4 linked regions of the Oreochromis niloticus genome follow. The protein of the gene in region 4 interacts with the protein of the main gene of each other region in a pairwise test. Links are inferred from orthologs where the notes say so. Each region holds a gene or a part of one and is shown on either strand. Other genes may lie near its edges. The genes, in order: glyr1, stat1a, stx11a and eif1ad.

Region 1 (7,448 bases), on a different chromosome or scaffold from region 4:
ATCTACATGCTGATGATCACCTTTGATTTCTCAGGGGAGAAGCTTCAGCAAATGTCGGTCCTGAACAGTCCTACGACCTGTGGATTACTGACAGCTGTTCATCGTGTACACCTCAGACTCTCAGTACAGCTCTGGGTCATGCCACCTACAGACACGCTGTGACAAAGCTGCAGTGGTTGGATGTACTAGTGCTGGACTATGGGAGGAATCTCCTTCTTCTGAATGTGGATAAGACAAAAGAGATGCTGACTGACTTCAAAAGGAAGAGGAAGGATACACCACCCGTGGGATGTTGATGTGGTGGAGAAGTCCAAGAACCTGGGCATCCACATCATCAACAGGCTGAACCGGCAGACCAACACAAAGGCTGTATGCGAAGAGGACGAGCAGGCTCTGCTTCCACAGGCAGAGGGAGTGTGTGCTCTGCTGTGCGAGCAGTATCACAGCTGCTGACACCAACAGACTGAACGAACCCGACAGGAAGACGGTCTCTGTGATTGGCTGCACTGGACACATTTTAAATTGTGTTGGTGACGAGGTCAGTGAGCAAACTAATCTAGGAGTAACTCCAACACTTTGATTAGAAACGTTCCCAACATTAAGCGCACGCAGCCAGCAGTTTTAAACAAAAAGTCTGTTACACACCGCGACGAGCAAAGAGTCGGAGCTGTTGAGACGGTGAGCTCAGGTCGAGTAAAAGAAAATATGTTTCTAGCATCTTTCCTGTATCACTGCTAAAACCTTCTCTTGGAAAAAGCTAGCGGGAATCCCAAAGAACTGCTTGAGCCAGTCGACGTGATGTCACGTGTGATGTGCAACACTGTAGGCGAGGGTGAGAATGGCAGGCAGACTGGATATCCAGAGGAGCACCGTTTCTAACAGACTGATTCATCTCCATAAACCTGGGTAAAGAGGCGGGACCACCTCCACTTTCACTGTGTGACCATTGCACTCTGTAGCTACAGGTTTATGCTTGTAAACAGCACACCTGCCGGTGCAGCTCGTGTTGTTTTAGTGTGGTTACTAGGCCCCATCGTCATCATCAGCATGTGAAGATTTCCACATACAAACTGAGTTTTACAAAGAGCTCAGAGCATGCAGCACCACAGGTGTGGGTCCTGGGGGGACGTGGCCACAGACTCACTGTCACTTCTCTGACCAATCCCAGCACACGACTGCCTTTTAACGTTTTTGATTAAGAAAGGAAAAAAACAAAGAAAAACAAACACACCACAACTGTTTGTAGACAGTCTATGTGAATAAAGACACTGAGCAAAAAGCTCAGTTATAATTAGGCAAATTACTGTGGTGCTGCTTGCTATGAACTTAAAACCTCCAACAGAAAACTCCAGTCGTCACGTGATTGGGGGTTACATCTAAGTAGACTGTGACTTTTCTGCATCTTCTCGGTGTTAGGTGTCAGAGGTCCTGGCTCACCTGTTCTTTCCCCTTTGCTTTCTTTAAGAAGTCCTCCACTGCATCAACAGCTTGCTGGAAGCGCTTTCCTTTATTTATCTTGATCATCTCTTCTTTGTGGGCATGGTACGGCTTCAGCTGTTCTACTTTGATCCAGGCACTGCAGACACACAACTCTCCCATATCAGCTGGAGAAGGCACAGCATGGTTAGCCAGAACAGGAAGCTGATGATCCATACTTACTGGTCCTCTGTTCCAAAGAACTTCACAAAGTGGCATTTCTTGCCCCTGGGCTTTTTCAGGTCCTTGGGAGGGCTTACTATCTGAAACGAGAGTGTTCAGTGTAACGTTAGCATCATTTTCTTAATCTAACAAACGCGTGGACAAGCTGTGGCTCCTTACCTTTCCTGGCCATGGTGGGTAACGACCGAGCTTCCCCCTGAAATAAGACCACAGAGTTAGCACCGAGCCCGTGATCTTCACAGAGAAGCACTCAGGCTCACTGTTCTTTATATCTCTGCTCAGCAGTTCCACAGTGAGCTGGTGGCTTTGGCAACGATACATCAGCTAACATTATCAGTGACATCCAAAGTCTGACTCTACATGAACTGTCAGATAAAGAAAAACTGGGCCAAGCGCGGATCATTCCCAGGTCTGTGTAGCATCAGCTGCCCGCCTCAAACCCCAGCGGTGTTGATTCGGTACTAAAAGCACCATAAGACAAGCATTGAGCTCGCAGTCTGACTGCTAACAGCAGGATTCGAAGACTGCGGAGATGGCTTGTATTGATCAGTGCCCGTGTACCCGTGACCAGCTCGCGGCGCTCGGTGGGATTTGTCCCCGAGCCTCCGCACACTGCCCTCGTCTCCTCAGCACTTGTTCGCCCCGGTTTCACTCAGATTGCTAACTGCATCGTCTGTCACCCTTCCCGTGGTGCCGGTGTAACGGTCTCCACAAACAAATGCGTAAATGTGTGGAAATCTAGCCTTTACGAAAAACTTGCAAATGCGCCCGCCCGCAGTAACACGGAAGCCGAGCGCAGACATCCGCTCAGGCTCTGCTGCTAGCAAAGATCGTCACAGACCACAACATTTCCACGAGCCGAGGCACTGAGTCCGTTTAACGTAGGTCTGCACATACACACGACGGCGAATAAAATGATCTTCAAAGACAAGTTTGCGTGGGGAAAAACACCTGCCTAGTTTGGGTTTAAACCGTTACTGTAGCTTGTTTGCTAGCCAGCAGCTAACGTCGGCTGCAGGCTGAGTCAGCTCGGTTAGCGATTTGTTTGGGTCGGCTATCCACTAACCCAGCACGGGAAACACTTGCCAAGGATTACACCTGGTTTACGCCACGGAGAAACATCACTGCCACGCGTCCTAATGCAGCTCTGCTCTATGGTCCGCAGACAGGAACCGGAGCACTCAACCTTGTGTAAAGGTTACTCACCACACTAGATCCCCGATCCTCAGATGCACCGTCGCCATCTTACAACTTTAATAAAACGTCGCACTGAATGAGAGGAAAAGACAACACACACCCACTAATCACATGTGAGGCCAGCCCCACCCCTTTCTCATACGTCACATCCGTCGCTCTGTTGTTTACTACACGTTTGAAGCATCAGCAACAGCAGCATGCACAATATCTACAGCATGTCCTTCATACACACATAACGATATAAATCCACAGTAAGAAATGACTCAGCCACGGGGAGCCACACGCTGGTCCCAGGCCTGCAGAAACGGGAAAGGTTACATCGGGAAGGGGATCCTCCAAAAAACCTTGGCCGAATCATTATTACAAAAATGCGCTTTCCACATAGGGTCGGCCAACTCTGCTGCTGCCTGAAGACAAACGAAGAGGGAGGGAGGGTGTGTTAGGAGGCTGTGAGAGTGTGGAGGCAGCTATATCTACAGGAGAGCAGGTGGAAAGGAAGGTCAGGAGCACTGGAGGTGGATTCAGGTTGTTCTACACAGGTGTGCGGTGACAGTAAATGGGAGTGTTTCTTATATAATGCTTCTCTACGTTACGTGAGCACTCAAAACACTTTACACAGCATGTCTTATTCATCATTTAAAGACATCTTTCTGTCTGTCTAACATTCACACATTCATACTACGATGAATGTATCAGGAGTAACTCTGGATTCCGTATCTTGCCCAAGAATCTTTGTCATGCTGAGCTTGTTTTGGCATTTCTAATTTTTGAGTCACCAGTAATGAGAGCTGTCACCTGCCGTTGTGGTGGTACCGCGGAGTTTCCCCGGGACCTGTGGCTGCTGGCCCTAGCACCTCAAACCTGGAAGACACAGTAATGATCTGGATGGTGGAGTGCAGCAGGACTGTCTTCCTTGTTTGCACTCACCTTAGATGAATATGCAGGGTGCAGAAGGAGGCTGCATGGAACATGTCTGCATGTTGGTGACCTGTCCACAGTGTACCCTGCCTCTCACCAGCTGTCGTAGGGTGAGAGGCCCTGAATCGGATAAAAAACTGATGGATGGAATAGAAACAAACGGTGACTCAAGGGTTTTTCACTGTACTGCATCGGTAAGAAAGGAGCTCCATCTCATTTTGTGAACTTGTCATAGTTAAGTTTTATTTCTTTGTTTTTAATATAAATCCACTTGTTGTGATTAAAGCAGTATATTTAGAGTAACACATAACACATGCCAGTTTTCTCATCTTACATTAGCACTTTCTGTGAATATTGAGATCACACCTCATCAGTTCAAGCCATTTTCACATTGTATTTAGATAAACAAGACTGCATACTGGAATTTGATATCCCTTATTTAACTTAACTTTGACAACTTTGATCCTGATAAAACATTTTTTTTCAGCTTCCAAAAAATAGTTTAAAAAAGCAACTTGTGTAAAATGTGCTGTTTATTGTCCTCCGTCAGTTTCTAAGTCAGTTCTTGACTCCCTGGTACAACTCTCACACTATAGAAAAGCTCTCTGATTGACGAAAGTAAGAACAACCCTAGGTTTCTCTTCAGCACTGTAGACAGGCTGACAGAAAGTTAGAGCTCCGTTGAGCCGACCATTCCTTTAACCTTAACTAGTAACGATTTCATAAATTCCTTCACAAATAAGATTTTAACTATTTGAGAATTGGGGTGGATGAGGTTTGCCCTGAGTTCCTGAAGGCTCTGGATGTTGTGAAGCCAGCTTTTTACCCTGTTGACGATACTTGAGGGTGCATGGAAGTTTGCCCAACCAGGTTACATGTGTTTTGTGGACATGGAGAAGGCATTCGACCGTGTCCCTAAGGTGTTCTTCGCGAGTATGGGGTGTCTGGCCTGCTGCTCCCTACACAACTGTTCCAAGAGCTTGGTCTGCATAGCCGGCAATAAGTCGAACTTGTTCCCGGTGGGAACGAGCCTCTTCCTCAGAGATAGGGTGAGGAGTTCAGAAGTAGGGGTTCAGAGTAGAGGCGCTACTCTTCCACATCAAAAGGTACCGGTTGAGGTGGTTTGGGCATCTGACAAAGATGCCTCCTGGGCCCTGGGCCAGACCCAGGACACACTGGAGAGATTAACTCTTGGCTGGCCTGGGAACAACTTGATGTTCTCTCGGACAAGAGGTGGTTGAGGAGAGGGAGGTCTGGGCTTTTCTGCTTAGGCTGCTGCCCCCGGATAAGTGGAAGAAGATGGATGGATGGACCTTCACTCCATTTCCAGAGTGTAACAATCAATCTTAAATGCCCATGGTGTTGATTGCTACTAATGACAAGAAATAAAGCCGTTTCAACGCTTAGGGCTGAACCATTTTTTAATGGTGGTGGTGGGGGAGCACTATGCAATACATTCAGATTTAGAAATTATATTCATTGTTAATTGTAGCTAGCTTATTTTAATAAACAACACTCATAACAAATCATATGCATAACTATGGTGGCAACTATGGATTGTGCCACCACAGTAGATTCGTCCCTGAATTAATTTCTATCCCTGAAAAGCCTTCAGCTGATCCAAAATGCTGCAGTGAATATACTGACAACAACTAGAAAGAGAGAGTGTGGTTGTCCTTTACTGGCTTCTTTTCGTTGGCTCCCTGTTAAATCCAGAATTTAAAATGCTTCTCATCACATACAAGGTCTTAAATAATCAGGCCCCATCTTATCTTAATGACCTTATAGTACCATATCACCCCATTAGAGCACTTTGCTCTCACGCTACCCTATGAACTTGTTGTTCCCAGAGTATTTAAAAGTAGAATGGGAGGCAGAGCCTTCAGCTTTCAGGCTCCTCTTCTGTGGAACCAGCTTCCTGTTTGGATTCGGGAGACAGACGCCCGCTTTTCTTTTAACATTACGCCTAAAACTTTCCTTTTTGATGAAGCATATAGTTAGGGCTGGATCAGGTGATGCTGAATCCTCCCATATTTACAGTGCAATAGGTGTAGGCTGCTGGGAGCTTCCTGTAATGCAATTCACTCTCTGCATTTAATTATTAGTTATTATTAATCTCTGGGTCGGTTCCACAGCATGTCTTTGTTCTGTCTTCCTCCCCTCCTCTCCAGTTGCATGCAGCAGATGACTGCCCCCTCCCTGAGCCTGGTTCTGCTGAAGGTTTCCTCATGTTAAAAGGGAGATTTTCCTTCACACTGTCAAAGCACTTGCTCATGGGAGGGAGGGGCATCCGATTGTTGTTGTTTTTTCTGTATTATTGTAGGGTCTTTACTTTTTACAATATAAACTGCCTTGAGGCAATTGTTGTAATTCAGTGCTACATAAATAAAATTGAATTGTGATACCATAAATTCCATACATGTTTTCCACAATCAAATACCCCACAAGACATTACATTTTTATTGAATTTTTTATTGAAAGCACACAGCCGATAACCCTGTTTAAAGCCCATAAATAAATGAAACACTTAGTACTCTTGTGAGTTTTAGTGACAATATATCAAAGATACATTCTTAACCCTGTCACCAAGTTAAAGAAATTAAAGATCGAACTTTTCATCATCAAAAATTTATGTAGCTGGCTGTGATGATGGTAATATCAGTCCATGTATTCATGCCAGATATGCATAAGAAAATAAATACATGGTGTATTTGGGACTCGTAGGTAAAAACACATAGTAACTGAGGGTCACCACAATATTAAAGTGAGAATATAAGTATATATTAAAAGCTAGGAAGACCAGTCAAAACAGATTTTTTTTTAGAATGAAAATCAAAAACATATCTTTTAGAGCCCCCTGTTCTTGCCTGATACCAATGCACCAAACTCCTGGATAGAGATTTCTTTATTTAAGTACTGCTGAAGCTGGCGATTTGTGATGTGTCCAAGGCGCAGTGCATCATCGATGGAAAACTTTTTTCCTGATTTTCTGTCATGAAGCACAGAGGATTCTCCCTGCGGCCCTTTGACTGAGATCTCTTCCCAGTCACACTCCTGGCTCTGCAGGTTGACAAACATCTTCCAGTCGATCAGCCCTAGTTTGTAGGCTTCCTCTGGTCGCATCTCCTTGCCGGTATCTGGGTCGATGACGACAATAGACCTGCGGAGATGGCTTTCCCTCTGTTCCCTCTTCATCCTCACAGCTGCCAGGTTCTTTTTAAGCTTCTCTATTTCATCATCCTTCTGGTTTGTTACAGCCCTCAGCTCTGCCAATTCCTTCTGTAATGAATCAAGCCTCAACTCCAAGTTCTTTGAATCCTCTCTTGGCGCAGACTCCGTAATAAGCCGAGTCTCTTTGCTTGTGATCTCAATCTCTGACCGAAGCTTGCGAATCTCATTTTGCAGCCTTTGGTTTTCCTGCTGCAATCGGCTACTTTCATCACGGATGTAGTCCAATTCTTTGGTAGACTTGGTGTTAGAAAACTCCATATCAGAGAGCCTGGAATTGAGGGTGGATAGTTCTTGGTCAAGTTCTCGCCTTCTTCTTTTCTCATCTTCCAGAGTTCTCTTTAGGTTCTCAATCTCAATCTCTGCCTCTGGGTCCCGCTCAACTTGGACTTTCTCAGTGCGGACAACCCTTTCCTTCACATCTACCTTTTCCAGGGTGATCTGCT
Region 2 (7,664 bases), on a different chromosome or scaffold from region 4:
TACGATCCCGATATAAATGCACCTACAATTTTCTTTTCCATCAGGACATCCGGTTTAACCTTTGCTTTGATTTACTTTGCAACCTTTGATTTTCTTGTTTCAGTGTTAGTTTTTCCTCTATTTTTTTTTTTGTATGGAGGGGATATGCCAGATAAAAAAATTTAGGTAAATCAGTACAGGTATTACAATAAATACAACTTTTTAATGGTTCAAACGAGTCGATGAGAAACGTTTGGCAAAAAAAAAAAGACGCTGCCCTTTATTCGGACTTCTTACCAGTCGATGCTTTCGATCCACTTGCTCAGGTACTGCCGGATGTCCATGGGGAACGAGTCATCGTACAGCTGATCCACCTGCTCCAGGTATTTGCTGTCCAGCATCTGAAGCTGGCCCCACTGCGCCATCTTCTGGTGAATGAAAGCAGCTCTGTCAGGACGTTTTTTGCACGATGTGCCACAGCTTACATAAAAGACGGGAGAGTCTAAAAGCTGCATTCTTACTAATGACCAGCAGGTAGCCTCTTCCCCTGCTCAGTGATGCCAATAAAATAAACTCTCTTGGTGAATTTATTTGCCTAAATCTGTACTTTCACATCTTGCTAATATAACATGAACTTAACTTTATTGCTTTTTAGCTGTATTAGTGTCAGAAATAAGAGGTAATCAGTTTCAAATCAACAGGTAGGTGGTGGCCAAAATGCTCAGCTTCATGATTTTCCTAAAAAAACAGAAGGTGGCTACATATATACAGGTTTTTCTACCGAGCATCAGGCAAGATTATCTGCCATTTTAGTGTCACAGATAAGAAATGTTAAAGTGGTTTTGCTGTCATACATAGCCTGTTTCTGTGGTGGATGTTGATATGAAACATCCAACAGAGCTTCAAATAATGAGGACAGTGTATGTGCGAGTAATCACTGTAGCCTCCGACTGCTCTAAATACTCAGTTTCAATAATTTATTTTCCTACTCTTTGATCTTTATGTCATGGAGGGCACATATCTTTAACATGTGCAACAAAAGTCTTGATAGTGAGGGGCAGCCAATCAGAGGAAAGCCAGCTTAAAAGTGAAGGAGCAAAAACAGCTTAGACAGAGGATGAACTGGAGACCAAGTATGAGATAAATAAGGACTATTCTGATCTGGGAATCATGCAAAGCTACTCTAGCAGAGTCCAGGAGTGAAAATATGGAGCTGGAAATGAGCAGAAAAAGTCTGATTTTATATACTTTTTCACTGGTGTGTCATCAAAGATTGAAGAAAACTCTAGCCGGATTATTAAATGCCCACAAATGCAGATCATGTGTGTGAATTTATTGACATGTATGTCACATTTCTGTCTGCAGTCTCCAGCTGTAGACACACAACAGTTAATAAAAACATACAGAATCTATTATCATGAGGCTGTGAGATAAAAGTGGCAGAAATCTGAGACTTTTTAAAAACCCTTTAAAGGGAATTTATGCTTTTTGAGAATTCGCTAGATGTGGATACCCAGTTAAAGTTTATATACAATGTAGATGTGTGTAATAATCCTGAATAAATAAAGGAAACATTTATTAGTCATTTGTTCAGAGCTTGGTTTTCCAAGAAGTCATCTTAAACCCATAAATATATGAGGATAATTCAATAATTTGAAGGTCTAACTGAAAATAATTTTTTATTTCTGACTCTCCTTGCAGCACTGTGGACAGAAGACAAAGGTCAGGAAGCTCCGAAACATTTATCTCACTACAGAAAACCAGCTGCTTGTTTAGTGTGAGAAATTCTGAAATTATAAGTGCTGACTCGAGGATTGTCACGGGCTGCCACCTGCCTCCTTCCTGGCTCAGTTCTGCTCTGACTTAAGATCAGAAAGTAAAAGCAAAGAAAGATATGTGTGTGATGATGTAAAGGAACATCCAACACTGATTTCTGTTAAAAGCAGCTGGATTTCATAGACACTGAAGCTCATAAGCTGTAATTAGCTCCACAGATTAATTCCCATATTGTAAAACAGGATTGTTTGACAGCTAAAGAAGAGACAAATTAACCTTTTTGTTGTTTACTTTTTTAAAAATCAAACTCAATCTTATCTGTATTTATCTTGTTCTAAGTGGCTAAACCTGAATGTAGGAGGCGTCTAAGGTCAGCTTAGGTTTCAGTTTCCCCACAAATGCAACTTTGCCTCCAGCATCAGTTTAAAAATATATCATTAAGAGTATTTAAACGTATGTCTATCTAGATATATGACCTAATTCCACATTCACAAGACGATCATAGCCAATAAGTCAATTTCACAGCTTTCATTTTTAGAGCATGATCCCTTTCTGGCTCCCCAAGTCACTTAAGGCAGCCCTGTGGTCCTTTCTAGCTCTCCTCAGCCAAACTCTAATCGGTAATGTGTCTTTTTAAGGATTTCAAGCAGAGGCCCTTATTTTAACGTCTAACAATACAAGACTCAATAGATTCTCTACATGTTGGTGCCTCACCTGAGCGATCGGCATATACAATAATTCATCTGGTGTTACACATCGACTAAGATCCCATTTTACACTTGGTTGACGGGTAATTATTTACGTTTCGGACCCCTAATGGTGGGCGGTATGGACATAAGCGTGTAAAAAGTTAAGATTTGATTTAAATAACGGCTACGGACAGATACACAAATATTACAACATACACAGAGGAACGCTTATATCGCGTAAACTACCGTTAAGTGTTTCCAGGAGTCGTTTTTTTAAGCATTACCGATTAGCAACGTCAAGTTTAAATGCTCCCCTAGCACGGCTTGCTGTGTAAATAAAAGGTCACAGAGGCGATTTATATAAAACAACGTCACCTTTTGAACATGTAAGTCGTGTAACTTACCTTTAATGTAAAGGTAACGTGTATAAGCTTCCACAGGAAGTAAGTTGTGTTTCCGAAAACGCTTGAGTCCCTAAATGTGCCAGAAACAAGCCACACAGCTCTCCTACCTTTTTTCTACTCCAGTGGCGCAGCTTACTTTACGGAAACACTATCAGCCAATCACCGCACACCATTTACGACAAGCCCCCGCCCTTTTCCATGAGACAGCCAATCACAAAGAGGGAAAAACGGCTGTTCTTCACAGCTACCAAGCATGCCTTAAAAAAAAAATACACAGAGGGTGTTTTTTTATTTAAAGCTGCCCCTGTAAGCATAACATGAAGAGTCAATATGTATTTTGTCATTGAACACAGTTAAAGAGAACGACACTGTACATAAAATGTATTTTTAATCTAGTTTAAAGCAACATGACGCAGGCTTTTCGGAGGGAGAAAGTCAGTAAACAGAAGAGCCGAGAGTGACCACGTGTTTTCAGAGAAAGAGAAAGCGGCAAGGACGCCTACAACTCTGAAACTGAAACTTAACTTAAAAGTTCTGTTTGATCGTTGACATGTGCAAAAATTGTGGAATAAGAAAACAATAACTGATTAAAACAAGACGCATTTAAAAAACATAACAAAAAACTAAAAAAAAATTAGAAAAAAATAATAATTATTGCACTCTAAATATCAAAAGTTACGGAAGCGTAGAGCTGCCACCCAGGCAAAAGAAAAATAGAAGTATATCACGTTATAACGTGAAAAGTTTATTGTTCTAACAAGATACTTTTCATGTTTGTACAATATACTTTTGACGTTTGAACAACATAATATCACGTTATTACAATATACATAAATATCACGTTCGTACAATATTTATATTGTACGAACGTGATATTTATATTGTACGAACGTAATAATTATGCATATTGTAATAACGTGATATTATATTGTCCAAACGTCAAAAGTATATTGTACAAACATAGTAGTATATTGTACAAACATGATAGTATATTGTACAAACATGAAAAGTATCTTGTTAGAACAATAAACTTTTCACGTTATAACGTGATATACTTCTATTTTTCTTTTGCCTGGGTGGCAGCTCTACGCTTCCGTAAAAAGTTATAATCTTGTACCGACAACAAAAAATCACCGGTTTTAAAACGTAATTATTTCACTAATATTACTTCTTTGTAAGGTAAGTTCTTATATTTTACAAAGTTGAAAACTTCCTTGACCCAGCCCACATTTCTTCCAAGAAGCAGAATTTCCTGTAATTTTCTAAGTGGTTTTGAGCAGTATTTCCCCAGGCTTTCCAAAGACCTCTCAAAGGTTTTCTTTGGGCATTAGCTAAATTTTCACTTCACTTAATTCTTTCAGAGGAAAAAAAGAAGTGGTAGATGCATCTGGACCTTCAGCTGATCCATCTAATGTTCACCGAAGCCTCATCAGAAATGGTCTCAGTAGAAGGTGGCTGTCAGGAAGCCATTCTTAAACAGGAAGGGAAACAGGAAGAAAAGGCCTGAACTGAAAGTAAGTGGAAACCGGTCTAATGGAGTGATGAATCCAGATCTGAATGTTTATGGTTTATGGTTCTAATCATCATTAGTATGCAGACCGGTAGGCAGAAAAGAGGTACAGTGAGTGTTTACAGTCATCTGTAAAACATGGTGGAGGCTCTGACATTGTTTGGGCTGCATTTCAGTCAGTGATGTTGAAGATCTTTGTAAAAACTGATGAATTATCAACATAGAAAAGTACCATCACATTTTGATCCAGCATGCAATACCATCTGGAAAGCATCTGATTGGAAACAGTTTAATTTTTCTTCATGACAATGATCCCAAACACACTGCCAATGCAACAAACATACGTGGATAGAAAAAACACACAGTGGAACACTATCAGTCATGGATTGGCCTCCCCAGAGCCCGGACCTCAACATTATTGGAGCAGTGTGGGATCATGTTGACAGAGAACAGAACAAAAGGCAGAAACATCCAAAGAAGAGCTTTGAATGTTCTTCAAGAAACCTGAAGAACTATTTCTGAAGAATGACAGATTTCAATAAATCAATCACCTGTTTCTTATTATCCTAGTAGAAGTAAGGGTTGGTTCCCTGTTTCTTTGTGCTATGCTAGGAACCTTCTAAAATAGGGGTGTGGAACTCCAGACCTGCAGCACGGTGGCACGGTGGTTAGCACTGTTGCCGCACAGCAAGAAGGTCCTGAGTTCAATTCCACCATCAGGCCGGGTTCTTTCTGTGTGGAGTTTGCATGTTCTCCCCGTGTTTGCGTAGGTTCTCTCCGGGTACTCCGGCTTCCTCCCACCGTCCAAAGACATGCAGCTTGTGGGGATAGGTTAATTGGATAATCCAAATTGCTACTAGGTGCGAATGGTTGTCTGTCCCTGTGTGTTAGCCCTGCGACAGACTGGCGTACCCCGCCTCTCGCCCTATAACAGCTGGGATAGGCTCCAGCGCCCCCCGCGACCCTGAAAAGGATAAGCGGAAGCGAATGGATGGAACTCCAGACCTCAAGGGCCAGGTCCTTAGACATGTCGTTGATCCAACATAGCTGATTTAAATGGCTAAATTACCTCCCCAATATGTCTTGAAGTTCTCTGGAGGCCCGGTAATGAACTAATCATTTGATTCAGGTGTGTTGACCCAGGGTGATATCTAAAACCTGCAGGCCAGCCCACCGGACGTTGAGGCCTGGAGTTCCCCACCCTGTTCTAGAGGCTATCATGAAGTTGCTGAAAGCAGTGCATCATCCACCAACCAGTTTGACCGGTAGACAAACTGCAAAGGGTCCAACTGGTGGCCTGTAATGTCCTTCACATGGGCTAACACCAGGTGTTCAAGGGATTTCATGACCACAGACGTCAAGGCGACAGGCATACATGCCAACCCTCCCGATTTTTCTGGTAGAATCCTGAATTTCAGTGCCCCTCCCGAAAATCTCCCGGAGCCACCATTCTCCCGAATTTCTCCTGATTTTCTACCCGGACAACAAAAATGAAAAACCATATCCCAGAATTCATAGCATGGCCCAGCCAATTCCAGTTTCCAACAATGGCGGCAGCTACTCAGGTTTAATATTACTCTTATTACTCTTTCTGGGTTGCAAACTAAACTTTTAGCATATTTTCAGGCGAGAATGTAGCTGAGTAAACTTCAAATATCTGAGCCGGCGAGAACAGCGAACTCCCGGCACATCGTTTTCAAACCCCCGTGGTCTTTCGCTACTCAGGTTAAACATGATATATAAGTCACTTAGATAGCCTAAAAATGTTATTGCTTTTTACTTTTTTCAGTGTTTTATTTGTTCCTGAGTAAATCGGTTTGGCTGAGATTAAAATTATTAGATTAGATTAAATAAAACTTTATTAATCCCTTGGTAGGGTTCCTCCGGGGGTTTTCACACAGCTGAATAAACGTCAAACAGAAAACTGATTAAACAGAAGTGTGAGATGGTCGAGAATTTACGCCAGTGTCCTGTTATATTTAGGTGGGTCCTCAGGTGGATGCAGCCTGTGAATTTGGGCAGCCTGACTGCCAACACTGTGAAATTCAAGTTTTTTTGTAGATCCTCAGATCTTTTGAGGATGTGGGTAAAGCTGGGAGTTCCTGTTTTTTTTTTTTACCACTACAAAAATTTCTGGGTTTGTTTTTTTTGTTTTTTCACAATGTATCCACTGTGTATCCACTGCACACTCTCCATTGTACACATGGATACACTTTTTCTCTAATTTCACATGTGTATGTCTTACAATTTAAGAGTTTTCAATTTAAGAGTTGGCAGTTTTCATGCATTTACTACAGAAGCATTTCTTTGGAAAAAACTGAAACCTAATGTTGAAATAGCCCTTTGTTTTCTTATATTAAGATATCTCAGAAAATAAATGTGTAATTAAATTTCTTTATATTGATAGAAAAGGGTGTTTCAGAGGTCTGGCACACTTAAGATTAAAGTAGGCTGTATGTGGCCAACAATGTAAAATGAGTTTAACATTGCTGGTCTAATAATGACATGTCTGTTAATTTCCACATCCTGCTTCCTCTTCCTCATTAACCGTCTGCTTAAACAAAAATAAAAAATCCTGATTTCATAATTTCTCAAACTGCCACTCATGTTCTGTTTCTCTTTGGTTTTTGCTGTGGATCTGATCTGTCAAAGGGGAACTCACAAACAGCTTCAAGGTCTGAAAATCAGCAGATGCAGTGAACACTGAACATCAGACTGCTGCTCTCTGGAGGTGATGGTTCACTTCTTCATCTCTATGTTAGGCTGTAGCCGGCTTGGCTTAGTTCAGCTCGACTCAGTTTTTAGGGTTTTCCATTAGGTGTTAGCACCTTGTACTAGGTACTTCTTTAGTACTTAAATACTTTTTTAGGAGTCCCAAGCGAGCCTAGTCAAGCCCAAAACATGATGTCAACAGACTGCAATCTACTAATTGGCCAGGGACATGCAGATTGTCACATCTATTGTATTTCTAGCCTATAAGACATTTAAACAACAGTAACTAACCCAGAGTGGCTTAGAGAGAGCCATATTTACAAACCACGTCTCCACACTGCTTTCCCTTTATAGGTTAAAACTATTGGTATTGGTATCTGCAAAACCTGTATTCACTTGGTATCGGATTGATACCAAAAGTTTGCAGTATCGCACAGCACCAACCGGCGGATGACGGGCTATGTGAATGTGAAACCATCGCAAACCATGTCACAGCAGATAAATCAGAATCCTTTTACTGTCATTAAACATCAGAGGTTCAACAAAAAGCAGCTCCCCGGTAGCAGCATTTAGAATAAATAAAAATGAAAACAA
Region 3 (7,562 bases), on a different chromosome or scaffold from region 4:
TGGAGCTGACACACAAATATTTTTGTGTTTTTTTTATGTGAAGCAACACGTGGAGGAAAAGCACAGCCTTGGCTTGTAGCTGGGGGTGGCTAACATATAGTTGCACAATCCTCACAAATCTAACTTGCCTCCCCAGCTAACCACAATTGCTGGTTGAGCTGTGATCAGTGTTTCTACACACTTGTGAAGCAATGGTTGCAATAAGAAACACGTCTATAGCAAGTACCAGTTCCGAGCTTAGCTGTAGATGTACATTCAAGTTGTCCAAATATAGCCACTCCAAGGCATTTATTTATAAATAAAATCATACTATATGGGCTTAAATATTGCATGCCGCATTCCAAACTGTACAAAGCTAAAAGCTAAACAAAGCTGCAAGCCACATGAAATAATAATTTAGATGTTTTTACAGCAGTCGTGTATGCATAAGCTGTTCTCAGTAGCAATCAGGAAATGTAACTACCATTATCGCACTGTATATATTTGCATATGTGCATGTGGTTTGAATCACTCTGACTAGTTGGTATCAACTCAGTAAAGAAAATGATACCAGAATGTGATATCTGGACACATCTAGAGCAGCAAAAAGCTTTCATGTAAGCATTCAGAAACATTTGCAGGAAAGCGGATTTGAATCAAACGTTCTGGTAGGGTGCGGGAACTGGTGGCGCCTCATTTACAGCACGGGAAACAACAACAAAACAGCTTCTTGCATGGATTGCTTTCCTTGTATATTTTAGCCTGCTTGATGTGCGCTGAAGCTTTGGCTACATAGTCCTGTGTTGCCCCTACATTTGCTTCTATGTTGTCGAGCATGCAACCCTGCTGCTCCACCAGCATCGCCATCTGGAAAAAAAGCTCGTGAATGTCCCTAATGCGGCCCTCCAGCTCCAGCAGCTCCTTGTGCCTGTTCTCAATCTCGTTGAGAGCAGATCTGGCAGTCCTCCCTTCCAGTAGGAGATTATCCGAGAAGACATTCCACTTGCCCGTCTCAATCATCTCGTCTATCTGCTCCCTGGTTACCTCCTTGCCCATGATCTCTGCTTGCCTCTGGATGCGGGTTTTGCAATTCTCCCTTTGCGCCATTTCAGCCTCATTGTATTCAGACATGGCACTGTGGAAGGCGCTGGTCAAAGACACATACTGCGAGCGCACCATGCGAGCCAAAGCTGATGTGACACCATGGGCTTCCTCCAGCTCCTTGCTCAGCTTCCCCATTTTTTCCAGCTTTTTATAAATGGACTCCCCTCTGGCCTTGATGTCTCGTCCCAGTGCGTTGGAGTCCCGCTTGATGCTGCTGATCCTCCTGACTGATGTGAGGAACCTGGTGTTCTGCTTCCCCAGACGTTTCACATCCATTCTGAGCAACTGGATCTCCTTCCTCATCACTTGGGCATCCTTGTAGATGCCATCCATCATGTCCTCACCCTCAAACACGATGGCGTGTTGCTCCAGAGGCTTCTCATCCTCACCGGTGAGTCTCTCGTTCTCCGTGGGCTTGTACTCCTGCTCTGCAGGCGTGAAGGCCTGGAGCTCAGTCAGTCGGTCCTTCATCTTACCTGCAAGAGTCACAGACATTTATTCACCTTTCTAATGGAATTGTGGGAAATGCATTCTTTACTCTGAAGAACTACATTAAAAAAAACTGATATCAAAAATTCTCATAGCACAACTTTATTTTGCTGGCTTTGCTCCTCGTCATCTTATTTCCTGTCACATGTATACTGTTCATATTAAACAAAGCAAAAGTTTCAAATAGTGATATTAGTACATGTAAGAAAACAACCAGGCTTTGGACTGTTGTTTCTACTCTCAGCTCTATATGACGTCACTTTGTACATATATCCTTAACATAGTCATCTCAGGCACACAGGTCTCTGGCCTTGAGCACAGAAGCCCCACCCATCTGTATTCAAGCCTTTTATTTTCAGCTAATCAGAAGAAAATTGGGGTAAAGGTCGGCGGCCATAAGGAGAGAGGACTTAAAATGGCTTATCTGACAGGTTTATTCTGAAATGTGAATCACACAAAGCTACACAAGTTAAGTCCCAGATTTATTTATTTATTTTTAATGTATGGAAAATCTCCAGTCACTTACTGAATGAAACTGGATATTGAATAGCAAATAAGATGGGTCACATAAATGTGACCAGCATGAGTATTAATCTACTGTTCTTTGGTAATTTCCTTTCAATATTGCACTGAATCCTCCTGTTAACAGAGAGAGGAAGGGGCTGGTATGACACTGAGTTCTTCTTTTGATATGTTATTATTAATATTAAGGCACTAATGTTAAGTCTCACTTTTAGATAACGATAACAGTTTTTGATGTGCTATGCAAGGTGGCTGTAGGTCAGTGAAAAGTCCTCAAAAGCATTGGCGAGTTACTTCCTCAGCTGTGTGACTCACATCATCATCAGATAGAAGTTATTTTAAAAGTTCCTGTCCTTCATTCGCGGTTATTTCCTGCTAAACGAATCAATTCCTGAGGTGTACTGTGATGTAGATAATGTTAAAAATCCTCACTAAAATGAAAAAACCACATCAGAGAAGCGCAAAGCATCCTCTCCCGTGATAAGGTGAGATCGGGAGGAAACAGAATAGCTCGAAAGCAATTTTTTGATATAGAAATCGACCTATATGACACAATACACCAATGTATCGATTACTGAGCCTATATCTACATAGAGAGTACAACAGAAGGTGCACACAGCCTACCTTTTTGTGTCCTCCACCGATATTAGAGAATTAAAGTCCCAAAAGCAGAAGGGGCGAGTACGGAAAGAGTCATTTCCTCTTTTTGTCTCGGTTATAAATGCAAATTTCAACAGTCAACTTAGAATTTTAAGGAGGTCTTGCATCACGTCCTATACATTACAAGTGACACGCTGACATTACACTGCCCATATAGCCTGCAGCGGGTATTAATGCGGAAGATAACGCCTTTTCCCCTTTACACATTTCACTGCTTCTCGGGTTTGATTCCAGGAAGGAGGTGTAGGTCAGTCACAGTCATTTTATATGGTGTGTTTTTATGTCAAAGCGTGCGCATTTGGCATTTGCGCAATAAAGGTTTTGTGTTCTAAAAACGTTTTAGACTTATGAGTCGACCACGAATCTCAGTCATTTTCATTTTAGTTTAAACTCTTCGCTGTGAAGATAGAAAAGAATACAAGAAGGACAAAAAAAGAAATTCAGCTTACTATACTAATATAAAAACGCGAATAGAAGTTCAACATTAACCTTGAAAACGGGGGCAAAGCCTCAACATAAAACACATTTAGTGTTCAGGAACAAGTGTTTGACACAAGTGGAAAGTGCAACCCCAATATTTTACATGTGGTTTTAATGATCAGGTCTAAAAATACAATGCTAAAAATATACATCGAGTATTAAAATTTACATTTCTGAGAGAAAGGGGAGGGGGGGGGGGAGTGTTACAACACTGTGAGTCTTGTAACCTGTAATAAGCAATTTTCTTTGGTAGTTGGGCAAGAAAAAGCCTTCATAACTGCCTTATATGTAGGGACAGAAGAAGTGCTATGGCCATTTGCTCCATTTAGTCAGCTGCAACAGTCCTGTGTTGAAAAATTGATAATGTATCAGAGTATTTAAAAAGCTGAAGTACTCGCAATGTAAAATTACAGATGATAAAGATCAAGTTGAAATGAAGAAGGGATACTCACGCAAGGTTTTTTTTAAATCATTATTTTACTTAAGGAGGACAAGTCACACAGACTTAGTATAGGCTGATATCCAGATTATTGACACTGTCCTTTGACTGGTATCATACAGTTACAGGAAGAAATCATTAATGGTTACAGGAGTCGTAGTCATACCAGCCTGTTAATGGCTAAACTTTTATACTTCTATCAATAAAGGCCACATTACACTTTCACATAAAATCACATAAAATCTAAATATACCTAAAATAACAATCTAAAATCACCTAACGTAAAGATTTAAGGTTAAATATTAACAGCTCTAGATTAGCAATTGCACTTTGCTTTTACAGATAAATGCCTTAAATAAATATTTCACTATACATCTATTTTTTAAGCACCTATCCAATTCAGGCTTGCAGGAAGTGGGGCCCTTCCCAGAGAAACGGAGAATCAGCACCTTGGTGGGTCTTGTTTTATGATGACCAGCCCAACTTGGCTTCATCACCATCAATGTTCAAACCTTTCTATTAGTGGCGCCATCTACTGTGCACCCATCTGTGGGTGTATCCTGGAAGTCAGTGTGATTCATTAAAAGTTTCACCATATTTTAGAATCAATAAAAGCTTCATAAGGCCTAATTGTGATAACATGGAAAGCAGCCGCAAAACATCTTCTTGAAAGGGTTGTTTTTATCAGATTTAGTGGCATTATCCAGATAGACCCTGCTTTCCAGAATGATCACATCAACATTTTGAACATTTTTCTGGATGTTTTCCACTCCTGTGCCCTGCTCCTCCATGAGGACAGCCACATCTAGGAACAGTTCCTGGATCCCCTCGATTCTTTTCTCCAGCTCCTGCAGCTCATGGTGCCGGCTCTCGATCTGCATGAGGGCAGACCGGGCAGATTTGCCTTGTATCTGGGTGCTGAACACAGTCAGTTCTTCACCCTCCATCATCTCCTCCAGCTCCTCCATGCTAACCTCCTTGCCCACTATCTCCATCTGTCTCTGGATCTGCTTTTTACAGGCTTCCCTGTGGTTCATCTCTGTGTCATTGTAGCTGAACATCACCTCCCGCAGAGCGTTGCTCAGGCAGTGGTACTGTGTTCGAGCAACGCGCACTGTGGGGTCCAAACTGCCGCGCTGGACCTCCAGTTCACCTCTGAGGTTATTTAGCATATGCAGCCTCTGCAACACAGCTTCTCCTCTGCGTTTAATATCTGCCCCGATTGCATTGGAGTCCCGTTTTATCACAATGGAGTCTGAAGTCTTATTCAAAGCCTGATAGTTCACGTCCTTCAGATCTCTGATGTCATTTTGGATCTGCTGGATTTCCAGACGTATCAGCTGGGCCTCCTTCAGGACATCATCCAGCTCATTATCTCCAGCTGTTGCATCATGATCTGATAGGTTATCTAGCTCCACTGTACTGAAACCCTCAGTGTCAGTCTGGACCTGATGCAGGTGTCCCAGTCTGTCTCTCATGGCTGGAAGGAAACAGAAAAAAAAGGTAGATTTACTCATCTGGGAGAAAAGGTTTATCCATGACTTGAAAAAAAAGCATCACAAACAATATATTTAGTGTTTAGCAACTTTTAGAGGCAATGAGCAACCTTATTCTTCATTTGTAATCATGTTTGAGGCCAGTCTTCAGCTTCTAAGGGAGGTATTTGGCTCTTTGCCTGCTAAAGTTGAAATTAAGCTATGTTGAACAGCTAGGTGTGTGTCTGTGTGTGTGTGAGCAGATTGCTTTTTCAGAAAAAAGCAATCTGCAGCAGTTCAAAATGATGACGATGGGAGAAGTGAGTGTCTTAAAGTGAAAAAAAAAAACCCTCACCATTACGAAGCTGAGGAGATTATTATCATCTGTGGGTTTGTGTGTACGTGCAATGCCTTTTTTAAATTACACATGTTGTGTTGATTAAAAATAAATATACAATAAGCTTTGCAGCTGCTTTTATTTTTTATTCTTTTTTTACAAAGTGAATGAATAAAAAATTTCAAACTGAAATTTAAGGAAATATTTACTCTTCAAACTTGGTTTAATTGATCACAACCAATTAAACCACTGAACTGCTGAACTGACTGACACTGCCTGACCTTTTTACCCCGAACAGGCCAAACTGTAACATCCCTGCTGAAGACATAAATGCTTCCTGTTGTACAAGCTAAGAAGAAAAATGCAATTTAAAAAAACAGAAAAACACCAAGAGAAAGCTGTTTCCCAGCTAATAACTGTAAAGCTTTTATTCTGTTAAGCTCATCTTACAAAATAAAACACAAAGGTTTTGTAATCAGTGCATAGCAGCGTGGCACATTTTCTACGTCTCCAGTATCGAGTAATCTTAGATGAATTCTCCTGATCCACTAGGACATGTAGTCTGTCAAAGACTTGCCAAACAAGTTCTCAAACAGAGGAGCTGTTGGATTTTTTTGTTAGTGCTAAAACTTTGAATTAAAGTGTTTTAAGCTTTGGTGACGGTTTAGGTCCCAAGCAGATCAGGTAAACGTGAGCCTCAAGGCTGAATGCAGCAGCCCAGGTTTTATTTGGACTTGAGGAACTTTAACACTCTCATTTCCTACTTTCCTGAAAAGCCCAACCCCCAAAAAACAAAAATAATAATAATATTTTAAGCTTAACTCAACAAAAAACAAGAGAAGACAAGCAAATCATGTTACTGATCACCGTCATACAAAGCAGACATGAACTCAGTCACAAGGAAGTCTGGTTGGATTTAAATGATTTTTACAATAGATAATACACATTTTACATATTTAAACATAATCTATTATTCTGAGCACTGAAAAAGTCTTATTTGGGATTTGAATACTTTCTGTAAACATTAACAGTGTAAAGTACATGGACATAGGTGTATGATTTTGCCAGTACTGGCCCTTTTCTTTGATGATGATGGTTCATCAAGAAAAATTCTCCCTTTCTATCAGATGCAGTTTAAACTCACTAACAGTTTAATGTCTTGTAGCAGGATGCTGTGCTGACAACATTTGCACTAAAAAGGCCCCCTGAGCAAACCTAAAGAATATAAAACCTATAACGCTATGATTATATAATTATTATATCTTACTTGTAGTGTTCTTAGTTAGCTGTAGATGAGTTTCAGACTTCCTTGTCCTCTGTAGTTAAAGGTGATCATGAAAACAGGAGTTCAGTCCAGTTAGCAGAGTGACGTCTGCTTTAAGAGCAAGTGATTTTTTAAAACTGTTAACCATCATCTCTGATAGACCTGCTTATGAGGAAAGGTTTTTAAAAACAAAACTTTCTGCATTCCTCTCGTGTCACGTGGAGACGTGAGGTGACGTACAGTAGGACAAAGCCATACTTGTCAGCGATTTAACATAAAGATGAAGCACCCCTGCTTACATTTCACCTCTATTATCATTACCTTTACTGCACTACTTTTAGCGTTCTCGGGTGTTGTTTTCTGTCAACAGAAATGGCAATGAAGGGGGTAAATGGCTGTGCTGAGGCCTTGACAAAGCACATATAAGATAACATCACGGATAGAGGTCACTGACTTTGGACACACAACATGTTAAAAAAAATAAAGAGGAAGTATTTGAGATAGCTTATCTTCCAGAGGGGTGGGACCAAAATGTTCTTATATGATAAAAACTCAAGTCTAAAAAAAAAGAAAAAGAAAAAGAAGAAGGCAAGAAAGACTGCCTTGTCTTCTTTATTTAATAATTCTACATCCTTTCCTGTTTCATGAAACACAATCTAAGTGTGAAGCCACCAACCATCAAGTGATTTTCAGTCATGCAGCCAGAAAAAGAAACTCAAGCTGGATAGATCATTCGGTGCATAGGCTGCATGTACATGAGCAGTAATTTCCATCAGCCTACTGAGTTTCTGAGTCACTGGGATGTTTCTCATG
Region 4 (6,990 bases):
CACTTGCAGTTGGAATTTTCTGTGCGCTGGCGATACTGTGATGTAATCTTCTAAGAATCCATATATTGTAGTTTTTTTCCACAGATGTGCTAGTGTGACGCCTGCAGAACTTTTTCCGGAGGAGATGGCTGCTTGACTGCATAATAATGAGATGCATTCAGGATTAAGTGTTAAATCCGGCAAGATGGAAACATGCACAAGAGGATATCGAGCCCGTGCGACATAACCATATTCTGCTTGGGATTTATTCCATTTCAAGAGCTTTTCAGTCATTTCACAAATTAACCTTTGCTGCTCGGTAAGAGAAAAATAAAACAACATTCATTTGTAACTCAAGCTGATACAATCATTTTTAGAACCATGTCCAGCGCCAATAAGACATTTTGATTTTCTTTGGCAGCAAAGATTAAACAAATTTCTACGGAAAAGATTGAATAGATTTAACGTCATCGTACAAATATACTGTGTGCCCTTTTATATAATGTACCAGCGATGTGCAATGGACCTATCATCACAAAAAACAGTAGAAATGTATCCCATGTTGAATTTCAGTTACATTTTAATCTCACAGATTTGTAAAACAAGCAGGAATTACTAAGTTCATTGAATGAGCCCAGCCATTCAGTACATGAACTGCAGAGGGCGCTGTTGCAGGTGGACCATTACTTCAGATCATCGTAGCATCAGTCAGTGATGACAGCGACACAGAAGAGCATGCTGTCACATCTGTTTCACAATTCCTGATTGTCCGTGTCCTCAGTGCTGCTGCTATGAAGCATTTTCCCTCCTTTTCTCTTTGTCCTCATCCTCGTCCTCTTCCTCTTCGCTATCGTCCTCATCCTCCTCACTTTCACTGTACTGACAGTTACAGCGGTTAGTGTTTACAAAGAGGTCGCTATCGTCATCTTCAGAATCGCTAGCATCCTCTTCCTCGTCCTCATCCTTTTCCAGCTCTTTCTTTGTCTTATCCTGCGACGAATGCTCGTCCATAAAGCCCTCTGGCCTGGAGACAAGAAAAAAACCCAGTAAAAAGTGCAAAACATGTGATAATGAGGCCGATGGAGAAACTTAAAGGTTATGCAGTGTGTTTCCACCTACCAGAGGTTCTGTTTTTGTAGGTACTGAATGTGATCCTTGTAGAGAATAAAGCTGATCTCTGCCTTCACCTTCTCTCCTTCTTCAATAGGATCCACAATCACATAGTCACCTTTGGAGTCAGAAGATAACATTTAAATGAATAAACACAAATGGGGGTCTTATTTAGACCAGTACTAGCTATAGGAAGATCACATTACTAACCTATATGTTTGCTCTATGATATATATTGTTCTTTTGTTTTGAAAAGGCAATGAATACCATGACAACGAGGCTCACTGTACTGTATACATTATGGATGTGCAGCTGATAAGTTTGCACCTGGAGGAAGGTGCAGTAAAATATCAAAAGTGTAAACTAACTGGTATGCCCACAAAAAAACTCCCCCAAAAGCAGCACACACAGTGCAGCATGAACGTATGTGCCACAAGCCACAAAATGCAATAACATCTGCCACCAGCTGTCACTGGATTATTACTCGAAGTTTTAACCACGTAACTTCCCTTTCCATTGCTTACCTCTCTTGATCCAGATGTTCTTGCGGAACTTGGTGGGCATGCTCACCAAGAAGGTCTCACCCTGAGCTGTGACAGCATCATGTAGGTTGTTACCACGGCTCCCAGTTACCTGTAAATGTAAAGAAGCAGATGAAACACAGAATCAGAAAAATACACTCAAGAGCCACTTTATGAGGTGCACCTGTTCAACTGCTCGTTAATGTAAAATGTTTAATGAATTAATCACAGTGGGAGAGGATGGTCAATGGACTTAGGCGTGTGAACATGGTCAAGACAACCTGCGGAAGTTCAAATTGAGCATCAGAATGGGGAAGAAAAACGATTTAAGTGACACTGAACGTTGCATGGTTGTTGGTGTCAGCAAGTTGGTCTAAATATTTTCAGAAACTGCTGATGTGAGACACAATCATCTCTACAATTTATAGAGAACAGTTAAATATCCACTGGTTACAACCACGATGTGCAGAAGAGCATATCAAACCTTGGAGTAAAGGGACTACAGCCGCAGAAGACCACACTGGGTCAGGTGTCAGCTAAGAACAGGAAACTGAGGCTATAATTTGCACAGGCTCTGTAATGTTCGGGTTTGTAAAGCACTTATTTCTTAAATCAAGCTTCACAGACTGTGTTAAATCTATATCAGTTTTTGAGAGCAGGGCTACACAGTGTAAATTTGCCTTTCTATAAGTAGTGTTACATGTCCACTTTAAGGCAGCGCTGAAGTCAAATGGGGATCTTCCGTGTACTTCCAATCTATACCTAATTAAGTATCCAGTGTATCCTGCTGATTACTAAAATGTGAGTGTTGTAATATGTAGGAAATACAGGGTACTTTATACAAAGTTTACCTTCACGATCTGCTGGTTTTCTGTGGGTGTGACAAAGTCTCCAAGAACCTCCTTGACAACGTGTTTGCGTTTAGTGGCCTGTGACATTATAACCGGCAGACTTCACGTTCCTTCGCCAGCTGAGAAAGAGAGGAGTGGGTCGAAAGTTCAAGTTAACTAAAGACTAGACGTAACAGTAACAACCAACACTAAAAGGTCAGCTTAATGTGATTACCAGCGAAACTTAATTATTTCTCCTTTATGAGCCTCTATAAATAAATAATTTAAACTTCCTCTGCCAAGTTTCTTCTAAACAGTAAGTAGTTGCTTACGGATAACTTAGCAGAAAATGCTAACATTAGCTGTCTCCACATTAGCAGGTTAAATACTACCTTGAAAGAAAGAAAGAAGTGGCTGTTTGTCTTTTTGAGTCAGAATATGTCTCCGAGCAGCAGGTATAAGTTCGGGTAGAAAAAGAAACTGAAATATTCAGTCACAAAAAAAATTAAATGACATGCGTTCTTGTTTGCAGTACAGTGTGGGGGAAAAGACAGGGAATGTTACACTTCCGATGTCAAATGGGCTATATTTTCAAAATAAAAGTTCCATACGTGTAAAATGTTCATGTTATCGCTAAAAGCCCTGTCAATGATTGGGTAAAATGTGATGAAAATGATGTAAATTTACTTCAGGATGCACTGTGATTCATTGTAAGATTATATCACTAACTTATGGCGACTTTTGTTTCTTATTTTAGAAGCTACTGCTAAAGACCAGCTGTTCCGTGACCTTCCCTTGGCATTGTGGGAAAATGAGGTTGTTTTGATTAAAGGAACATTCAAGAACACGAACGTTGTTGCTCCTCTGTCGTTCAAAGTATTTCCCTACGTTATGTATGTAATGGTCCTGCTTCTTCCCAACATACCGTTTAAAATCATAAACAGGTTAAAATGTTTTCTCCCTTTATAGGTCTTATTGTCACTGTAGTTATTTGAAGTTAATTTTGCCTTATGGTTAAAGTTATTATATATGCACTAAATAAATTATATAAAGTAATGGTTTAATTATACTGTCAACCAGTATATAGTTTCAGTGCACATGAAAAACGTTATAATAAAATAGGGCAGCACAGCGGTGTGGTGGTTAGCACTGCTGCAAGAAGGTTCTGGGTTTGAATCCATCATTTTCTTCTTGAGCGTCTGTGGGTTCTCCAGCTTCCTCCCACAGTCCAGAGACATGCAGTTGGGTAAATCAGTGATTCTAAATTTCCAGTGAAAGGTTGTCTGTCTCTCTGTGTTACCCCTGTGACTATCCAGGGTTTACCTCATTTCTCACCCCATGGCAGCTGGGATAGGCTCCAGCGCCTCCCAGTGACCCTGAATTGGATAAGCAAAAGAAAATGGATAGGCAGATCATAAAATAACAAACAACTGGATTTCACACTTTTGTTTTATTCAACTCCCATCATTCGTTTCTCACTGTTATACAGCTATTATTGCAATTACATTGCACTAAACTGAGTTTGTGCAGTAAACCACTCCAGAATCAAAGCTTTATTTTTCAAAAAACTCTTTGAAGTACATACCATCAGCTCACCACTATGAGCATGGGCTCCGTTACTGTAAGTAAAGATGACTTACAAGCTGTTACCTTAAACACATTAATCATTTTGACCAAGCTTCAGGACTAACAGAAAAAGCAGATTTAATCTTGATTTAAAATTACTAGAAAGTTTCAGTATCACATCAAAGCTAGCTTTATTAGAGCTGGTAAAACACTGGTTTGGTTTAATGGAGAAGAAACATCAGCAGGACTTCACATGTGTGCGTGTTGAGCTCTTGTGCATTCTGGATAAGTGATGTGGAGCTGGGGTCCACTGACAGCTGTGGTGCATGTAGCATGATGATGTGTGTGTGTGTGTCTGTAGGAGATGTTAGGGGTTCAGTTGACTACAGCAGATGAGCACATCTTGTTGATCCCACATGCATTGGAGCCCCTGTAGAGGTAGTAGTAACCCTGTGTGAAGGAGAAAAAACAAATTAACACTCACTCCCTCACGGCTGTATATGAACAGAACTCCTTTTTTCACTATGCTATGAAACAACAGTCAGCTTTGTAAAGCCTAGTGCACGGATCAGCACTTCTACTGAGTCTGTTATGAAAACGGTGCTTTATGTCAGTGATCCTCAGTCATGTAGTTGGTTTCAAATGAAAGAGTTTTAGAATGATACGTTTTCTGAAAGGTCGTGCTGTCTCACCTGCTCTCCATAATCCTCCCCCCAGCTGTTTTTGATGGCCCAGAAGGGAATACCTTTACCTGAGAACACAGGGGGGAAACATTGTTGACAAACGAGGCAAAAAGATGTGTCTGTGCTTTCCAGAAACTGGGCAAATATTTAAGACTAAAAAATGGGATAAAAAAAATAATCATTACGTTCTCCATATCCCACCAACAGCACAGCGTGGTCGATCATCCAGGGGTTGCAGAAAATCTTCAGAGGGTGAGATATACCCTTCCTGTAAAACTGAAGGGAATGAAATGATATTCAAGATAATGTAAGAATAACATGTATCTTAAGATTATTATCTTTATTATCTTTTATGTCCAGTTTAGATAGTCTGGAGGTGATTGGAGCGCATAATAATAACAGCTAACAACAGCAGCAATATAAACAAGCGTAAGAATAAGAACTGCTCTTATTTGGGCAGGAAATATGTCACTTCTGATATGATACAGTAACAATACACTGCCCACGATACTATACACATGCAAGAAAATGATCTACATACAACTTTGCTGTTTGATAAGCACCATCACCAAGTACTGACTCTGATAAGTCAAACTGGTGGGGGTTAGGAATGTTTTAATAAATCAGTAACGTATAAACCAACATTACACAAGGAGGCAACGTGACATATTCTACTGATATTTTTATTCCACTCCTAGTTGACACCTCCACTAAGGAGCTGGGGTCACATTAATGATCTATTAAAATTTAGCTTTCATCTACCAAAGTCTTCAAGTTCAATGTAAAGATTTACTGGTAAAAAAACAAACAAACAAAAAATGAGCAAAAGCCTTATAACTTAGAAACTATGACTCTTACAAGTGCAGTGTGTATTGTCAACATATAGAAAATACTGTATAAAAACTTAAAATATGATGTCACATTTGACCTCTGACCTTTTTGTCAAGGTCAACAGACTAATCTGAAGGTCAAAGTGATATTAACCTCCTAAGACCCGAACTCTTCCACGGCATGCATTTTTAATTTCTCTTTGATATTTGGTCATATTGGGGCCCGATGAATGTAAAAACAAAGAATTTCCAGATTTTTTTTTTTTACCTTATTTTTGTTTTTAAGAAAAATGAGAGCCACAAATGAGGATATTCATTTAAAATTTTGATAGAACAGTAGCAGTATAATGTCCTCGTAAGTGGATATCAGGCCCATATAGAAAAAATTGAGTATTTTGGTCTAAATAACCAAAAATGTGATGTCCACATATGTGGACGGCAGGTCCTAGGAGGTTAATGTTGTATAGCGGGATTTAAAACTCAGTTTCTGACTGCCATTGTTAATAATGACAATGTATTTTTATACTCTTATATAAGACAATAGAATGATAAATGGGGATTCTAACTATCACAGTATAGTTTGCATCTAAATATCACATCACATTTGACCTCTGACCTCACTTTTACATTTCCGTCTTAATTTCAAGCTGACCCCAAAACGTGCTACGTCTTTAAAGAGAGGATTGTTAAGAGACTGAGCTGTTTAGTTAGTCACAAATATACTTTAGTAATATTAAATAATAAGCTCAAGTTATTCATGTCCAGTTGTTTACAAATCAGTACTTATTATCTATCACATACTCACTGATACCCTTCTCTAGTTTTGACTGCACTATAAACTTCTTCAAGTACCTCTAAAAAACAAAGAAAATGAATTCATCCTCTTAAAAATAAACAATGTGCAAAGACTGAGCTGCTTTGCTTCTTGTTGTTTTGAGGAGTGATTTAACTTCTTAAAAAACCTCCTACCTGCATAGCAAAAGCATTCAGAGCAACAGAGACTGGCCCATTCTCAGCCAGCCAAGCAGCAATCTCTGAGAAAGAAAAGATACAAAAATAAATCAAAATGAGTCAATTTAACAACCCTTAGTTTTAAAGCATCACAGTACAGTTAGAATAAGAGTAAAATCACTGACATGTCCATGCAGTTAAACCACTGTTGTCTGTTCATAAACTCTATTTGATGTCTTGCCACTTTGTTGACACATTTATTTTCTGTGTGCTCACCCTTCTCATCTTTGGGTAACTCCACGGAGCTGTTGATGTAGGCGGCCACCTTCCCGGTGGTGAAGTCACACCTCTGCTTGTGCCCGGTGTAGGAGTAGTCACTTTCAGTCTCCAGACCCCCTTAACCACACGAGGGGCAAAGATTATAAGAAAGCACTTTAAGGAAAAATCTGCTTGTGTTATCAGTAAAAACATCCCTCTGTTTTTACTTATTGCTAAACACAGAATAAAATCTTAGTCCTAC

Evidence for each region.
Region 1: the proteins of eif1ad (region 4) and glyr1 interact in binary tests that used the Homo sapiens proteins (3 or more experiments, as listed by UniProt). The two-hybrid records come from large-scale screens. The link is inferred for Oreochromis niloticus from reciprocal best matches to the Homo sapiens genes EIF1AD and GLYR1.
Region 2: the proteins of eif1ad (region 4) and stat1a interact in binary tests that used the Homo sapiens proteins (3 or more experiments, as listed by UniProt). The two-hybrid records come from large-scale screens. The link is inferred for Oreochromis niloticus from reciprocal best matches to the Homo sapiens genes EIF1AD and STAT1.
Region 3: the proteins of eif1ad (region 4) and stx11a interact in binary tests that used the Homo sapiens proteins (3 or more experiments, as listed by UniProt). The two-hybrid records come from large-scale screens. The link is inferred for Oreochromis niloticus from reciprocal best matches to the Homo sapiens genes EIF1AD and STX11.

Annotation. Positions count from the first base shown.
Region 1 is NC_031969.2:563,676-571,123, reverse strand, and holds the start of glyr1 (cytokine-like nuclear factor N-PAC), read right to left. Parts: upstream 3,023-7,448; 5' UTR 2,904-3,022; coding exon 2,866-2,903; intron 1,856-2,865; coding exon 1,819-1,855; intron 1,740-1,818; coding exon 1,660-1,739; intron 1,577-1,659; coding exon 1,438-1,576; intron 1-1,437. Other genes in the region: ppl (periplakin), read right to left, coding at 6,622-7,448. UniProt on the Homo sapiens protein: Cytokine-like nuclear factor with chromatin gene reader activity involved in chromatin modification and regulation of gene expression. Acts as a nucleosome-destabilizing factor that is recruited to genes during transcriptional activation.
Region 2 is NC_031986.2:20,027,866-20,035,529, forward strand, and holds the start of stat1a (signal transducer and activator of transcription 1a), read right to left. Parts: upstream 3,005-7,664; 5' UTR 2,849-3,004; intron 461-2,848; exon of another isoform or gene 408-460; 5' UTR 405-407; coding exon 277-404; intron 1-276. UniProt on the Homo sapiens protein: Signal transducer and transcription activator that mediates cellular responses to interferons (IFNs), cytokine KITLG/SCF and other cytokines and other growth factors.
Region 3 is NC_031983.2:20,446,860-20,454,421, reverse strand, and holds the start of stx11a (syntaxin-11a), read right to left. Parts: upstream 3,002-7,562; 5' UTR 2,719-3,001; intron 1,560-2,718; 5' UTR 1,555-1,559; coding exon 673-1,554; 3' UTR 1-672. Other genes in the region: syntaxin-11-like, read right to left, coding at 4,300-5,151. UniProt on the Homo sapiens protein: SNARE that acts to regulate protein transport between late endosomes and the trans-Golgi network.
Region 4 is NC_031966.2:32,617,057-32,624,046, forward strand, and holds the start of eif1ad (putative RNA-binding protein EIF1AD), read right to left. Parts: upstream 3,017-6,990; 5' UTR 2,833-3,016; intron 2,803-2,832; exon of another isoform or gene 2,676-2,802; intron 2,581-2,675; 5' UTR 2,549-2,580; coding exon 2,462-2,548; intron 1,723-2,461; coding exon 1,614-1,722; intron 1,208-1,613; coding exon 1,099-1,207; intron 1,004-1,098; coding exon 769-1,003; 3' UTR 1-768. Other genes in the region: ctsf (cathepsin F), read right to left, coding at 4,382-4,456, 4,699-4,757, 4,875-4,965, 6,489-6,553, 6,747-6,866.